4 linked regions of the Macaca mulatta genome follow. The protein of the gene in region 1 interacts with the protein of each later gene in a biochemical or structural test. Links are inferred from orthologs where the notes say so. Each region holds a gene or a part of one and is shown on either strand. Other genes may lie near its edges.

Region 1 (4,069 bases):
TGTTGAGCGGGACATTTTAAACACTGTTTTGGATTTTTAAGGTTTCAAAGCATCCGAAGGACGGTCTCTTTTGGCAGCGACAGTTGCAAGCTGTGAGCCAAAAATAAATAGAGGTTGGTCCCCTAATCAACAAATATATTCTACTCTCTTCAATGCCCAGGACCCCACCTTGTCCCTTCCTCCAGCTTACACGAGGGGCAAGTGGCAGCTCTTCTCCGCCTGCGTGCCTGGCCTCGCCAACAACACCCATTAGTCTCCCGTCTCCCGGGGCGGCGGGGGACTCCCAACCACGCGCCCAGGGCCCTTTCCCAGGTACTGGGGCCCCGGGAGCCACGACGTCCCCCACGCAGGCGAACGGGATGGAACTAGCCCTGGGGACGCGGGTAGCCCAATGGGCAGCCTCCGCCCGGAGGCGGGCCCAGGCCGGAAGCCACCCCGCGGCACAGCGGCCCCACGATACGGTGCCCGCGCCCCCGCCTTCTCTGGCACAGGCTCCGCGGCCAAGGGCGGCAGGGGCCAGCCCGCCAGGTCCCCGCCGCGCTCTTTGTCCTGGCCGCGCGCGGGCGGACGCGTGCACCCCCCGGGTGAGGGGAGGTGCGGGGAGCGCGCGCGGGAGCGCGCGGGAACAGCTCGCGCCCGCCGGGCGCCGGCGGCGCGCGCCCCTCCGCCAGGCAAGCAGCGAGCACGCGCGCCGCCGCCGCGCCCGCCCCTCCCCCCGCGTTCGCCTCGGAACTTGCTGACTGCGCGGCCGGGAGGAGCCGAGCCGGGCGGCGGCGGCGGGAGGCCACAGCGCGCGGGGGTCTCCCGCGTCCCCTCCGCCTCGCCGGGAGCTCGCGCCCTCGCCCAGCCGAGCTCCCACCCCCCCTTTTTTCCGAAGGCGCTGGGCGGCGCCACCCTCCGGCCGGAGCCCGGCACTGCACAACCCCCTCCGACTTTCAATGTTCCACACTCCCCGGCCAGAGCCTCCTCGGCTTCTTTTTTTCCCTCCCCCCCCTTCCCCCCCCCACAGCTGCCTCCATTTCCTTAAGGAAGGGTTTTTTTCTCTCTCCCTCCCCCACACCGTAGCGGCGCGCGAGCGGGCCGGGCGGGCGGCCGAGGTAAGGCGGAGGGGCCGGGGGGCCGCGTGGGGGGCGGCCGGGGCGGCGGCGGCTGCGGTGGGGGAGGGGGCGGGGGCGGGCAGCTTTGTTCGCGCCGGGCGCCCGCGCCGCCGGTGTCCGCGAGCCGCGGCGGGGCCGGCCGGGCTGCTCGCATCACTTGGCGCCCGGCGCGGCGAGCGCTGCCCGCGGCCCCCGCGCGGCCCTCCCCACAAAGGGCCGCGGAGCTGCGTGGCCGCCGCCGCCGGCCGCGGCTCGCCTCCGCGGGCGCGGAAATTTGTTGCACTTCTTGGGGCTTTGTTTGTTTGTTTGTTTTTCCTCTGGGTTTCTTATTTTTTTCGTTATTTTGGACAAAATGTCGGTCCGTGATGTAAAAATTGAGCGAGGAACCTTGGTGGCATTGGGAGCTTTGCAGAAGGTGCAGTTTGAATTCTGCTTTTCCCAGGGTGGCAGCTAGGTCTTGGCCAGATGAATCTTCGCTGCTGGCGGTGGAAACAGCTAGAGGAGCTCGTTAGTTGATTTTTAAATTTCCAAGTGTTGTGTTTAAAGCCTTTACGTGCACTGAGAAGGAATCGCCACCTTAAATAAGCATATGGGCGATTAACAGGGTGTGTTTTCCTCTCGGAAAGGGAATTTGGTAGCTTTGACCAATGTCAGTGTGTAAATATTTAGACGTTATTAGTGACTTTTAAACATTTTTTCAGCGAGATCTGTTATTTACAGTATGTCATATGTTATTAATGCTTGTTGCCTAAGTTCCTTGGCAAATCTGTTTCATGCCTTCTGAGAAAGTAGACAATTGATAGATTGTCCAAGAGATGGAAAAAAATGTGAGTGGGTTTTCTAACTTGAGTTCGGCAAATCCCTGAACGCTGGCGTTGTGTGACACATCACCTCCCTTGTAACCCTTGTTGTATGATGAAATAAGTGTGAACACTTTTGAAGCTTTTTCATTACAATACGATATTAGATGAATAGAAGAAAATGCTGTTGGTTTATTTCCTAGATTTAACATTTTCTCCCCATCCTCCCCTGTTCTCTTTAAAAGTTTTCCAAGAGATAACTTCACCAAGATGTCCAGTGATAGGCAAAGGTCCGATGATGAGAGCCCCAGCACCAGCAGTGGCAGTTCAGATGCGGACCAGCGAGACCCAGCCGCTCCAGAGCCTGAAGAACAAGAGGAAAGAAAACCTTCTGCCGCCCAGCAGAAGAAAAACACCAAACTCTCTAGCAAAACCACTGCTAAGTTATCCACTAGTGCTAAAAGGTAATGTGTAAAAGAAGGATCCAGCACACTTTGTCAGGTTGTCTTCCAGGTGGTTGGACGCTTTTGTTGGTTTTACATCAGTAGCAATAGTTCAGAAATATTTACTTCATTATCAGTTTATTTGTACTTGAATGAGTTGTCATTCTTTAGGTGGTATGTATGCAACCTTGCTAGAATTATGCTTTTAAGCAAACTTATTCTGTACTTCGGTAACTTCAGTTGAGTATCCTTGAGTAGAGATTAGACTAACATTCTGACAGATTGTTTAAGGAGTTGGCAAGGAAAATTTGGTGAACCCAAATTAGATGGTACTTTGGGGATGTTTCCTTTTATGAGTCATAATCTTCTTTAATGAAATTGACACTTCCAGAGATTAGCAGGGCCTCTCTTCATGAAACTTAATGATCAGAAATGATCATATTTGCTAGAAAATTGCAAATTCAGGCCTTTGCTATGTTTGAAAGCAGATTTAAAATCGTGCTGCAAATCTGCTTACAGTTTTACAAAACATGACTTTAAATCATGTATCACAGGTAACTTTCGTGGTTAAATTATGATTATCCCTCCCTGTGCTTGTGAGGGCAAATCAAACTGAAAAGTAGCCCTTTACAATTTGAGGTGTCACTGGTGATAGAAAACTTTCATTGTCCTTGGACCTCTTCACTCTGAAACTTGTGGATGTGCTTGACAAGTTAATACTCAACAGCAGGAGAAACATATTTAATTGGATGTAAGTGGAAGATCATTTGTTTCCTATTGATTTATATTTTCTGATAGAGAAGAAAAGATTCTGTCAATGAGACTCTGTCAGTGGTAGTAGTAGTGGAACATCCACAAACTCTAGTAATTATACATAAAATGTATAATCTCTACAGCGTTAGCCAATGTTGACATTTTGTTAATTTTTATTGATCACAACTAAAGGAAAAAATATTTCTACAAATACTGCATTCTGTGGTGATTCATAAATACTCATATTTTTCTATGGATTTTCACCTTTATTGTCTCAGTAATGATGTATTAATAACTTGAGAATATTTTTGAATGGCAGCAGTCTTTGACATAATATAAAATCCTTCTCAATTTGGTATAGTGTTGATGCAGAACATATTAGACACGTCTAAAGTTTTGAAAGCATCTTAAATTTGAATCAAATCAGAGAACTGCTTTTCTCCCCCTTAACTCAGGCCTATGTATTTTCTCTTTCTGTCAATATTTACTAAATTTAAGTGCTGTGCCTATGATCAGGGAAAACAGAAATGGGTAAATTAGAATGTCATGTAGTCTTCGAAAGTTTTTCACCAGTAAAGATATTTGTAAATTTTAAACTTTTTTTTTGACAGATAAAATATTGTCAGAACTGTTAATGTGCTGTTGCAGTAGCCTGTTAATTTTTACCTCAGTAAAAGTCACTCGAAGTCCTTGTCAAATATTCCAGTGCTTTCCCTCCTCCCTTTTTGTCTCATTTGCATATAAGCTTGAAAAGAGAATTTCTTTGGTAAAAAGTGTTTTGAAATAGATATTATATTCTTTACTGAGTACTAGTGGATGAGTATTTTTCAAATCAAGTGTAAATGACTTACTTATTTGCAGCAGCAAGTGAGAAAAAAAGCTGCAAAGTTTCTGTTAAGGGATTTGGGTTATGCCTCTGAGAACAAAGAGGAAGCAGCCATGTTAGCATTACTGAAGGCAGAGCCAGCCTTGCATT
Region 2 (3,563 bases), on another chromosome or scaffold:
CCAGGGCACTGCAGCTAAATCCGGATGGAGGAATAGGAGCTCACCCTGGTGGGGAAGGATGGACATTCAGGCAGAGAGCAAAATCCCAAAGATCATGCGGAGCAGGCATTGTCTTGGGAATTGGAAGCAGGTGGGTGTGGTAGGAGTGAGCTCAGACTTTGGCTGGAGACAGAGTTTTACTCCAGTGTCTCACAGGGCATGGCAAGCAGACAGCAGCGGGTGTTTGTCAAATAAATGAGTCAGCTCTTCTCCAAACTCCGTCCTCCCAGCTACCTCTTCACCTTTCCTGGTATAGTCTAGGAGTTCATTTTTGACCCCCACAGAGTCTGATGCACAGTAGGTGCTGTGTGTTTGTGAAAGAGGCTGACCCAGCAAAGCCTGGATGTGTCTGCCTTGAGGACTGCCTGAGTCCTTGACATCAGCCCTCCACCATTTTCTCCTCTTCACCCCAATGCTGGGCCTGAGCCTCCATCTCTCCACAGGTGGTGGTGCTCACCAACACCCCCCTGGAGGACCAGCTGCGAGTGGGTGAGTTCTGTCACAGCCGTGGCATCAAGCTGGTGGTGGCAGACACAAGGGGCCTGTTTGGGTGAGTGGCGGCCCACCCCGCTCCCTGTCCCCTTTTCCTCCAACTCCTACCAGGCCCAGGCCAAGACCTCTAGGCTCTCCCTGCCCTCGTCCCTCCTCAGCTACCCAGATTTTGGGTTCTTTGTGTTCATCTCTCCTCATGTGGCACAAGTACCATCTTACATCCCAGCAGTGATAGGCTGAGTTTGCTCAGCAAGTTTTCACTACATCTTGAGGGACCTGTGGGGCCTGTTTGTGCATGGGACACGGGCATCAGCCCTATTGCTTCCCTCTACAGGCAGCTCTTCTGTGACTTTGGAAAGGAAATGATCCTCACAGATTCCAATGGGGAGCAGCCGCTCAGTGCTATGGTTTCTATGGTTACCAAGGTAAGGAGACCAGCCCTAGGGTTCCTGGCGGGCAGGTGGGCTGTGGTAGTCCTTCCTGTCCGCTCTTGGTACCCTGGGCCTGTTTCTGAGACTCACTCTTCCTTTAACCAGGACAACCCTGGTGTGGTTACCTGCCTGGATGAGGCCCGACACGGGTTTGAAAGTGGGGACTTTGTCTCCTTTTCAGAAGTACAGGGCATGGTTGAACTCAACGGAAATCAGCCCATGGAGATCAAAGTCCTGGGTGAGTTGGGACCATGGGGGAAGCAGAGGGAAGCTAGGAGATATGTTCCTGGGTTCTGGCTAGGGAGTTGAAGGGAGGAGACATGGCCCTTGGTTCAGATTGGGGAGACACATCCTGTTGTTTAAGATGAACTACAGACAGAATCCCGTGGGGTCCAATAAGAGCTGGTGGGCATGAGGGAGAGGTGCTGTGTTCGAGCTATTCCTGGGAGAATGTGTCCCTGGTATCTGAGCTGAGGGGGAAAAGGTCTCTGGTGTTTGAACAGGGCAGGTCAGAGGATCTACTGTGTGTGAGCTGATTTGGATGGGAAGCACATAAGGTCTTCCCATGTAGACTTGGAGCCAGGGACATAGGGTCTCACAGGGTCTGAGCTGGGTCTGGGGCACAGGAGAGATGTTTTCTGATGTCCATGTGGAGCCTGGAGCAGAGGGGAGATGGCGTCTGATGTCTGAGCTGAGTTGGGGCAGGAGGTTCCTTATCTTGCAGGGGTTGTGGATTTTAGGGAGAATGGGTAGACTGATAGCTCTCTTCCTGCCCTCTATAGGTCCTTATACCTTTAGCATCTGTGACACCTCCAACTTCTCCGACTATATCCGTGGAGGCATCGTCAGTCAGGTCAAAGTACCTAAGAAGATTAGCTTTGTGAGTGTGTCAGTGGGAACAGTGGCTATGTGGGGTAGTTCTAGGCATTCCCGAGTTCTCCATTCCTCTCTTCTGGTTCTGATGACCTCCCCCTTCCCCCGCCACAGAAATCCTTGGTGGCCTCACTGGCAGAACCTGACTTTGTGATGACGGACTTCGCCAAGTTTTCTCACCCTGCCCAGCTGCACATTGGCTTCCAGGCCCTGCACCACTTCTGTGCTCAGCATGGCCGGCCACCTCGGCCCCGCAATGAGGTGGGTGGGTAGGCGAGCCAGCCAATGCACACATGCCTGGCACTGAAGGCCCACCATGCTTCTGCTTATCCACACTCCCTGCCCTCATTGTGGCCTGACAGATCCTCTTTTGGTTCTTTCTGGCCTACCAGGAGGATGCAACAGAACTGGTGGCCTTAGCACAGGCTGTGAATGCTCGAGCCCTGCCAGCAGTGCAGCAAGAGAACCTGGACGAGGACCTCATCCGGAAGTTGGCATATGTGGCTGCTGGGGATCTGGCACCCATAAACGCCTTCATTGGGGGCCTGGCTGCCCAGGAAGTCATGAAGGTCAGCATGGGTTGGGAGAGGCAGGATTGGGGTGGGCCAGGTGCCTCCCTGACTCCATCACTTGCTCTCTGTGTCAGGCCCCTGTTAACCACTGACCACCCCCTCTCTCCCTTCCCCTCTCCAGGCCTGCTCCGGGAAGTTCATGCCCATCATGCAGTGGCTATACTTTGATGCCCTTGAGTGTCTCCCTGAGGACAAAGAGGCCCTCACGGAGGACAAGTGCCTCCCAGTATGTGGGTGGGACCTGTGGGGAGGGCATCATTGGGGGCATTTCTGGGGAGGCCTCTCTCTGACCCTCCTCCCTTTGCATTCCTTAGCGCCAGAACCGTTACGATGGGCAAGTGGCTGTGTTTGGCTCAGACCTGCAAGAGAAGCTGGGCAAGCAGAAGTATTTCCTGGTGAGTGGTCCCCTTGGATGCCTGCTCCCCTCATCTTGGCCTCTGACCATCTGCCCTGGGGCTTCCTTCAGCATTTCAACGCAACCTGTGGGGCATTCCCTTTGCCATTCTCCTTATCTTGAAGGGAAGCCCAGTGCATCCCTCGTTTCCCGCTCTGGTTCCTCCTTCCTCACACGACTGCATGTCATTTCTTAGAGTCCTGGAACCTGAAGATGTGGTGTTAGCCCCTCTCCCCATCTCTCAGGGGAGTGAGGGGTGATGGGTAGCCTCACACTAACCTGCATCACCCTGACCAGCCTCTGCCTGTCTTCTTGGTTGCCTCTTAGGTGGGTGCGGGGGCCATTGGCTGTGAGCTGCTCAAGAACTTTGCCATGATTGGGCTGGGCTGCAGGGAGGGTGGAGAAATCATCGTTACAGACATGGACACCATTGAGAAGTCAAATCTGAATCGACAGTTTCTTTTCCGGCCCTGGGATGTCACGGTGAGTAGGGTAGGAGGTGGGGCTTTGTCATCTCACTTTCCTCCTTTTTCTTTTTTTTTTTTTTTTTCTTGAGACAGAGTTTTGCTCTTGTTGCCCAGGCTGGAGTGCAGTGGCATGATCTCTGGCCCACCGCAACCTCTGCCTCCTGGGTTCAAGCGATTCTCCTGCCTCAGCCTCCTGAGTAGCTGGGATTACAGGCATGCGCCGCCATGCCCGGCTAATTTTGGTTTTTAAGTAGAGACAGGGTCTCTCCATGTTGGTCAGGCTGGTCTTGAATTC
Region 3 (4,168 bases), about 38 Mb from region 1:
GATTTAGGGGAAAGGAAAGGAAAAAAAATTAAGAGGAAATAATAGAGTTCAAGTGGTTTACCTCTTACTACATGGTGTGCTAGAGACTAATAATAATAATATTTGTTGTTTACTAAGAGCCAGGCACTGTACTAACTGATTTAATGTGACAACATACTTAATCTCAAATGCCATCAATCAGTTGCTGTTCTTATCCCCATTCTAGAGATGAGGAAATTGAGACATAGAGAAGTTAAGTAATTTGTCCATAATTCTAGGGTTAGAAAGCGGTGGAGATGGAACTTATACCCAAATAATACAACTTCAGAGCTTATACTCCATAAGAAGTATGAGAGAGTCAATGCCTTAGGAATATAAACTGGTATACATACATCCCTTCTAGACCCATTTTCCACTGGAGTTGGGGGTACCAAATCCCACCCAAAAGGTATCCCTCTTTGTACAATACCTGAGCACTGTATTTTCTTCGACCCTTGTACACCCTCCCAAAAGAGCCTTCTCCAATCATCTCCAACACGTGGTACTTTTCCATGACAGAGGTTTCAGAATCTCTTAGAAGGAAAAAGGTAGAGACGGTGAAGAGCTATAGATCCAGGGACAATTCCACAACATCTGGGAGGCCTAGTTGGGGCATGGGAAAGGAAAAATGTTAGCCATCTTGCCTTTTCTCTTTTTCACAAAGACCAAGCCTCAAAAAACATGGGAGGGTAGAATGATGCAAAGATGATGCGATCTTGGAACAAACACAGCATCTCTTTGTAGTTCCTCTCCACTTTCAGCCTCCTGTCCCCAACCCGGCCCCATGCCCACCTGACACCTGGTCCCCCTTCTCCCTCATCCAGCTTGGCCCACTCGACCCTGCTCTCTTAACCTAGCATCGCCCACCCAACCCTGCTCCTTCGAGTCTCCCCCAAGTTCCTGCCACTCCCAGATTCCTCAGCACCTGCTCTCAGACCCCCTGGCCCATGCGCTTCGCAAGCCAGGGTCCCTCTCTCATCCCCAGCCTAGGAGATCCAAGCTCCTCGGGCCCAGGGACGGATTCCCTGGCCTTTAGCCCCATATCTTCTGGCTGCCTGCATACGTTGCCTGACTTACAATTCTTCTCCACCCGCCCCTCTCGCCAGTCTCTTTTGGCTCCCTTTCTAACAATTTCACTCGCTAGAACTGGTGAGAAGTTCAGAGGACAAAGGCGCTCAGAGGTGTGGGAGGGACGGCGGACCACACATGGGCACTTCCTGGGACGCATCCGAACTGCCTCTGGGCCATCAGGCCCGGCTAAGGACCCGGAGTCTGCGGTTGCCTAGAAACGACGCTAGCTGCCCACCCCTCTTAGTTTTCCGCCTCCGACTTCCCTAAGGGCATTTCCGGTTCCGGCTGCGGGCCGGTGAAGACATGGCGGCGTCTGCGTCTGCAGCTACAGGGGAGGAGGACTGGTAACTTCGGGGGCATGGGCTTTGGCTGACAGTCTGGGTCTAGTCCAGAGGCCTAGCAGCTGTCGCAGACGGTCCGTACGGCGGGCGTGTGGGGTGGAGCGAAGGATGAGGGATGGCAGAGATGCTGACATCTCCTCTGGGAGATCTTCTAGACTGGGGAACGGGAGGGTGGAGGGGCGCTGATCTGAGTGAGAAGAGACCGGGTCTGCGCCCGCCAGACCAGTTCAGGCCTCGCCTTATCCGGTTCGATCCCCTTTCCTCCAGCTTCACGCTATCCCTTTCTATGCTCCTCAAATGAATTTTCTCAGGGGCTTTGGGGGATGCCTGCCCGTCAGACCTCCCCATCTCCCTTTCGCCTCTCAGAACTAGTGCCCTCCAGTTCGGTACCCCTTTCTCCTTGGATCAGCGTTTTTCCGCCGACGCTTTCCTCAACCTTCTCTCTCCCACACAGCACTAGTGAGGACTATTGTCTGAATAAAGCTTTACACCTCACATAAAGTCCCTCTAGTCCTTCTCTCAAGCATTCTTAACTAAAGACTAGAACATGGAAGGACTCTGGGATTTGGAAGTAGGATCAATGTGGGTTAACTCCGCATTTTATTAGCTGTGTGATGCTGACCAGGCCATCTAGCTTCTGTGAGTCAGTGTCCTCAGCTGTAAAAACAAAGTGGGTGTGGTATTTACCTCAGAATAGTTGAGAGGATCACGATGGATTTGTAATATACTTAAGTCTGTTTTTTTGTTTTGTTTTGTTTTGTTTTGTTTTTTGAGACAGAGTCTCACTGTCACCCACGCTGGAGTGCGGTGGTGCGATTATGGCTCACTGCAGCCTCAACCTCCCCAGGCTCAGGTGATCCTCCTGCCTCAGCCTTCCAAGTAGCTGAGGCTACAGGTCTGTGCCACCATGCCCAGCTAATTTTGTATTTTTTGTAGAGACAGAGTTTTGCCATGTTGGCCAGGCTGGTCTTGAACCCCTGGGTTCAAGTGATCCTCCCACCTCAGCCTCCCAAGGTGCTGGAATTACAGGCGTGAGCCACCACACCCGGCCTCCTTTTCATTAATAACTGAGGTGCAGGCACCTGGGAAGATTAGATGAGCCCCAAAGAAGTAAAGTGATTTGCCAAAAGGTGGAAAATTGCGACTAGAAATCCACATCTATCTGACTCCACACCTTAGATTCTTTATACTAGGACATTCTTCAGTCCCCTCTCCCCCATTTTGTTGTCACCACCTTACCAGCATCCCATCCAGGACCCACATAACTAGGGTAGGCAAAGTATTGAAGGGCCACTTGACTGAGGCTACACCTCAGTGTTACATTGGTTCAGGGAGCCCTGCTAGTACTGGCCTTTATTAAGACTATCTAGACTACTGGTTTTCAAAGTGTTCAGGGAAACTTTTTCTTTTCTTTTTTTAAGAGACGGAGTCTTACTTTGTCACCCAGGCTGGAGTACAGTGGCAAGATCATGGCTCATTACAGACTCAACCTTCTGGGCTCCAGCGATTCTTCTGCCTCAGCCTCCCAAGTAGCTGGGACCACTGTGTCCAGCTAATTTTTTATTTTCTGTAGAGATAGTCTCGCTTTGTTGCCCAGGCTGGTCTCGAACTCCTGGCCTCAAGTGATCCTCCCACCTCAGCCTCCCAAAGTGCTGGGATAACTTATAGTTGACCTGTTCAGGGGAACTTTTAAGATTCAGGGGAAACACCTTGAGCCATGGAGAGAACAACAGTGAGTGCAGCAGCCTGTAGTGCTGTGAGACTCCCATCCCATGTCAGCCAAAACTACACTATTTTCTGTGAGGTGTAAAGCTTTGTATTTTATATTTTGAAGTTTCTGCCTAAGACTTAACAACAACTGACATAAGTCATGCTGGAGCAGCCTTACTCTTAGAATGAAGAGAGAGCAGTATGAGAAAGGAAAGTATGCATTTTTCCATGTATCACCTGGTAGAGCTGTAGACACAAACTGATCACTCAGCTTCAATTTCAATACAACTACTGTTTCTATGCTTATGCATGTGTGTCCTCTGATTTACATCGGAACATGGATGCTAACCTCAACAGGCTGATCTAGATCAACCAGACAGCCAGGGTCATAAATACATCCAGAGTACTCTACTACCTCCCTCCTTCCCTCTTCCTTCTAAGGGAGAAGGTTATATACAGACAGGAAGAAAAAGAGGATGTAGACTAGCTACTATAGCCCAGATACTATTAGGTACTTTATATAAACAAATCACCTTTTATCCTCATAGTAACCCTAGAGAGTAGGTGTTATCATCTATATGTGATAGACAGGATAACTTAAGCTTACAGAGAGGTCACTTCCCAGATCGCATAGCTTGTAAGTGATTGGTACCTGTTACTAACTCCGAGGCTGCTGGCTTTTCCATTACAACACAGCCTTTACACCACCCTAGACCTGTTGTGTTGAGGTTGCTATCTCCTTTAAGAAGGCTTAGGGTGACTGGTGTTAAAAGTGTATGTAGACAGTAGCCAAGGCACTGGGATCCACACTGGACATTGATGTAGGGAAAGGCTGGAGTAATATTGGTAACGTTAATGCTAGTAAATGGGTGCCGTACCTCTAGACCAGAAAGTCAGCCACTAAGGGGAATGAAACTTAAACAGGGAGTCAGGAACCCGACTCTGGGCCCAGTTCTACCTATGTTAAGCCTTGGTTAGTCATTTTATTTTTCTGGAATCCACTTCTTCATCTCTTGGCAGAAATAATG
Region 4 (3,563 bases), on another chromosome or scaffold:
CAGGAGAATGGCATGAACCTGGGTGGCGGAGCTTGCAGTGAGCCGAGATTGCACCACTGCACTCCAGCCTGGGCGACAGAGTGAAACTCCGTCTCAAAGAAAAAAAAAAAAAGTGAATGTTCACAAAACACACACACAAAAAAGGTGGGCCAAAGCTTTTCTGCATTAAGAAACTAAAGAGATAGAACCAAATACAGTGACTGAACTTGTTTAGATTCTGGTTCAATCAAATAGCTTTAAAATATATTTTCAGAAATAATTAGGAAGTTTCAAATGTTTGTTTACTAGATAACAGTATGCCACTATCATTAAATTTTTTAAAAGTACTGTCATGATGTAGAAGCATTTCCTTATCTTAGGAGAAACGTGGAAATATTTAGTTGAAGCATTATCATAACTCCAACTTCATGTAGTTCAGCAAAAATATTAAGGGAACAAATATGGCAAAGTATTATCAATTGTTAATTTGGGTGGAAGGTATTCTACTATTCATAGTCCTATCCTTTCAAATTTTCTGTATGTTTGAAAACTTTCACTATAAAAACTTCCAGATAGTGTATATTCTCATTATAAAGCTCATTTTTGAGAAAATAATATAAAAATTCCTTCATGGGGGAAAACATGTAAGAGAATTCTCTAAATAAGTCCAAGTACTTAAATAAAACACTGGATGTGTGGTCTGCAAATCAAGTACCAAAAATTGCTGGAGAGCCTAAGGAATTCTGTGTATACATACCGGTTAAAACATGGTGAAGCAGGGTCATTGAAATGTTTGTAAGGGTTTGCTCTAGAGAGAGAACCCATGCAAATCCAACAGAAATATTGCTTACAGCCAGTACATGTCATCTTGTTACATCCATCTAATTTCTGGTGGGAAGGATAGAAAGAGAAAAATATCAAGGCTGTAAGAGCAGAAGAGACATGCACATGCCAAAGTGATTCAGTACAACATTGTCCTGGTCTTCTCCTTTTTCTTATGCAGGGTTGAGATATCAATGTAACACACTGATGACTATGTAATTCTATTTTGCACTCTAAAATACAGAAAATAGCTAGTGTTACTACAACTAGTTACTTGGCACAATCTCTTCTGATAAGCAGTAGATAAAAATCACACACATATAACTGGAACATGTAGATTAATATTAAAATACTTGGATGTAACGTGTGGGTTTTTAATTTTTACATAAATCCAAGTAAATATTTGGTACCAAGTCCTCCACTCTGTCATAGGGCTAAGGTATGTCAAAAGTGATTAAATGGCCAGGTGTGGTGGCTCATGCCTGTAATCCCAGCACTTTGGGAGGCCAAGGTGGGTGGGTCATTTGAGGTCAGGAGTTGGAGACCAGCCTGGCCAACATGATAAAACCCCATCTCTACTAAAAATACAAACATTAGCCAGGTGTGGTGGCTGGCACCTGTAATCCCAGCTACTCGGGAGGCTGAGGCATGAAAATTCCTTGAACCTGGGAGGCGGAGATTGTAGTTAGCCTATATTGCACTACCACACTCCAGCCTGGGCAACAGAGAGAGACTCAGTATCAAAAAAACAAAAAAGTGATTATATATAGTGCCAGTTTCCTTACCTGGAGTATCACTACTATGTTCAGTTCAGACATAATAGATTAGAACAATAGAATCAAATGCAAAGATGTATTTTGATTTTAAAACATATTAAGAATGGCCGGGCGCGGTGGCTCAAGCCTGTAATCCCAGCACTTTGGGAGGCCGAGACGGGCGGATCACAAGGTCAGGAGATCGAGACCAGCCTGGCTAATACGGTGAAACCCCGTCTCTACTAAAAAATACAAAAAAAAAAAACTAGCCGGGTGAGGTGGCGGGCGCCTGTAGTCCCAGCTACTCGGGAGGCTGAGGCAGGAGAATGGCGTAGACCCGGGAGGCGGAGCTTGCAGTGAGCTGAGATGCGGCCACTGCACTCCAGCCTGGGCGACAGAGCGAGACTCCGTCTCAAAAAAAAAAAATAAATAAATAAAAAATAAAAATAAAAAAAAAAAATAAAAAATAAAAATAAAAAAAATAAAACATATTAAGATTTTTGTCAAGAAGCAATAGAGTTGTGTAATTATTTTGACTCAGATTAATTCCTGAGTGTATCTTAAACAGGTGTGCAGCATTCCAGGATAAATAGTTCTGAGAGGTCAGATTTGATTTTTTTTAATCACATAGATGAGGTAAGAAGTGACCATAGCTCTAGTATGCCCTCCTTACAACCCATTCAATTTTGAGATGGATACAATGTAAGAACAATGGTCACTGTAAGAAAGACACAAAGAAAAGACTTTGAAAAGGGAAGTCTACAAACATTTAAGGTCGATAACAAGATTTAGTAGTGAAATTTCCACCTTCCAAGTAAGGAAGGTGCAATAATACCAGCATGTGTTTTGTAAGTCATAAAATTGACTAATAAGGCTTCTTAAGGTAATCATAGCATGCTTGCAAGTCTGATGGCCTCCAAGTCTGTCCCAAATCATTTACCTCTATGGGAGTTCCACAACATGGGCAGCTCTTTGAGTTCTTCTCTAGCCACTCCTTACTTTCCATCTCTTCCAGTGCCTTCTGAATCACTCTCTTACCATACCTTTGATCCAAAAGTCTTTTATTAGCCTCATCTGCTTGCAGGTATTCATTTCGTAAGTCCATTAATTTCTCTAGAAAGTGAAATGGAAAATTAACTTTTATATAACTTTGTAATGCAAACTAAAAATCATTAAAAATGGCTATAATCTTTGACTATTCAATAATGTTATTCCTAGAACTTTATCATAAGGAAGTAATCCAAAGTCATATGCATGGAGATGCATATAACAGTGGCAAAAAAATTAAATTTCTAAGGAAATAATTATGTTTGAAAGAGCCATTTAATGTCGCAATATTCAATTATTAAAAACATAATTACATTCGCTACAACCCAATTAAAACACTCATCACAGAATCCAGAAAAAAAGTATATTTATGTTACAACCCAGTAAAAATTATACATGCACAAATGATAATGAATGGAAAGGAATCCCCCAACTAGAAAAGATGTATCTGCTAAAAGTGGTAGAATAAGATAGGTTATTTTTTTCCTTTGTTTTGATTTCTTAATGTTGGTATGTTTATGCAACTAGAAGTATGCAGTTAAAGACTGACTTATCTAGAAGATACAAAGGTTGAAACAGACATTGATTTTTCCACTAAGTTGGCACCATTCACCGTTTGATAATGAAGAGGCCTACCAAATACAAAGGCACCTTTGGCTTAAGAGCAAAGACTACCTCTTCAATTTTGTGTTAAAAAAAAAAAAAATCAGTGAATAAAACTTACCACTCAAGTCTCACCCTGTACTATGCTTTGCTATAGGTGCTGAAAAGTTTTCCCTTGATACTCTTCAGTCTGGCTTCTACTGCTCTATCATTTAACTGAAATGGAACAGGTAACTAATCCCAAAGGCTTTACTTGCAGACAAGAGGCTTTTGTTCACAATTCTATTACTTAATTTTTCAACACAATTAAAGAGTTTTCCCAACAATGTTCTGTTTATTTTATCAGTTTACTTTCCT

The links.
Region 2: of the proteins of UBE2E3 (region 1) and UBA1, one has a biochemical effect on the other in vitro, tested with the Homo sapiens proteins (3 studies listed by BioGRID, with this or other methods). The link is inferred for Macaca mulatta from reciprocal best matches to the Homo sapiens genes UBE2E3 and UBA1.
Region 3: the proteins of UBE2E3 (region 1) and RNF25 form a complex in vitro, tested with the Homo sapiens proteins (2 studies listed by BioGRID, with this or other methods). The link is inferred for Macaca mulatta from reciprocal best matches to the Homo sapiens genes UBE2E3 and RNF25.
Region 4: the proteins of UBE2E3 (region 1) and RNF14 form a complex in vitro, tested with the Homo sapiens proteins (2 studies listed by BioGRID). The link is inferred for Macaca mulatta from reciprocal best matches to the Homo sapiens genes UBE2E3 and RNF14.

What each region holds. Positions count from the first base shown.
Region 1 is NC_133417.1:85,866,706-85,870,774, forward strand, and holds the start of UBE2E3 (ubiquitin-conjugating enzyme E2 E3), read left to right. Parts: upstream 1-1,512; intron 1,513-1,942; coding exon of another isoform or gene 1,943-1,985; intron 1,986-2,142; 5' UTR 2,143-2,167; coding exon 2,168-2,361; intron 2,362-4,069. Other genes in the region: uncharacterized protein LOC144333280, read right to left, coding at 191-1,422, 1,943-1,985. UniProt on the Homo sapiens protein: Accepts ubiquitin from the E1 complex and catalyzes its covalent attachment to other proteins. In vitro catalyzes 'Lys-11'- and 'Lys-48'-, as well as 'Lys-63'-linked polyubiquitination.
Region 2 is NC_133426.1:47,232,048-47,235,610, forward strand, and holds part of UBA1 (ubiquitin-like modifier-activating enzyme 1), read left to right. Parts: intron 1-482; coding exon 483-589; coding exon of another isoform or gene 590-677; intron 678-844; coding exon of another isoform or gene 845-865; coding exon 866-956; intron 957-1,067; coding exon 1,068-1,200; intron 1,201-1,744; coding exon 1,745-1,842; intron 1,843-1,949; coding exon 1,950-2,096; intron 2,097-2,227; coding exon 2,228-2,404; intron 2,405-2,528; coding exon 2,529-2,633; intron 2,634-2,721; coding exon 2,722-2,802; intron 2,803-3,128; coding exon 3,129-3,284; intron 3,285-3,563. UniProt on the Homo sapiens protein: Catalyzes the first step in ubiquitin conjugation to mark cellular proteins for degradation through the ubiquitin-proteasome system.
Region 3 is NC_133417.1:123,910,958-123,915,125, reverse strand, and holds the start of RNF25 (E3 ubiquitin-protein ligase RNF25), read left to right. Parts: upstream 1-1,360; 5' UTR 1,361-1,392; coding exon 1,393-1,433; intron 1,434-4,168. Other genes in the region: STK36 (serine/threonine-protein kinase 36), read right to left, coding at 449-532. UniProt on the Homo sapiens protein: E3 ubiquitin-protein ligase that plays a key role in the RNF14-RNF25 translation quality control pathway, a pathway that takes place when a ribosome has stalled during translation, and which promotes ubiquitination and degradation of translation factors on stalled ribosomes.
Region 4 is NC_133411.1:150,838,632-150,842,194, reverse strand, and holds part of RNF14 (E3 ubiquitin-protein ligase RNF14), read right to left. Parts: intron 2,670-3,563; coding exon 2,497-2,669; exon of another isoform or gene 2,471-2,496; intron 903-2,470; exon of another isoform or gene 868-902; coding exon 737-867; intron 1-736. UniProt on the Homo sapiens protein: E3 ubiquitin-protein ligase that plays a key role in the RNF14-RNF25 translation quality control pathway, a pathway that takes place when a ribosome has stalled during translation, and which promotes ubiquitination and degradation of translation factors on stalled ribosomes.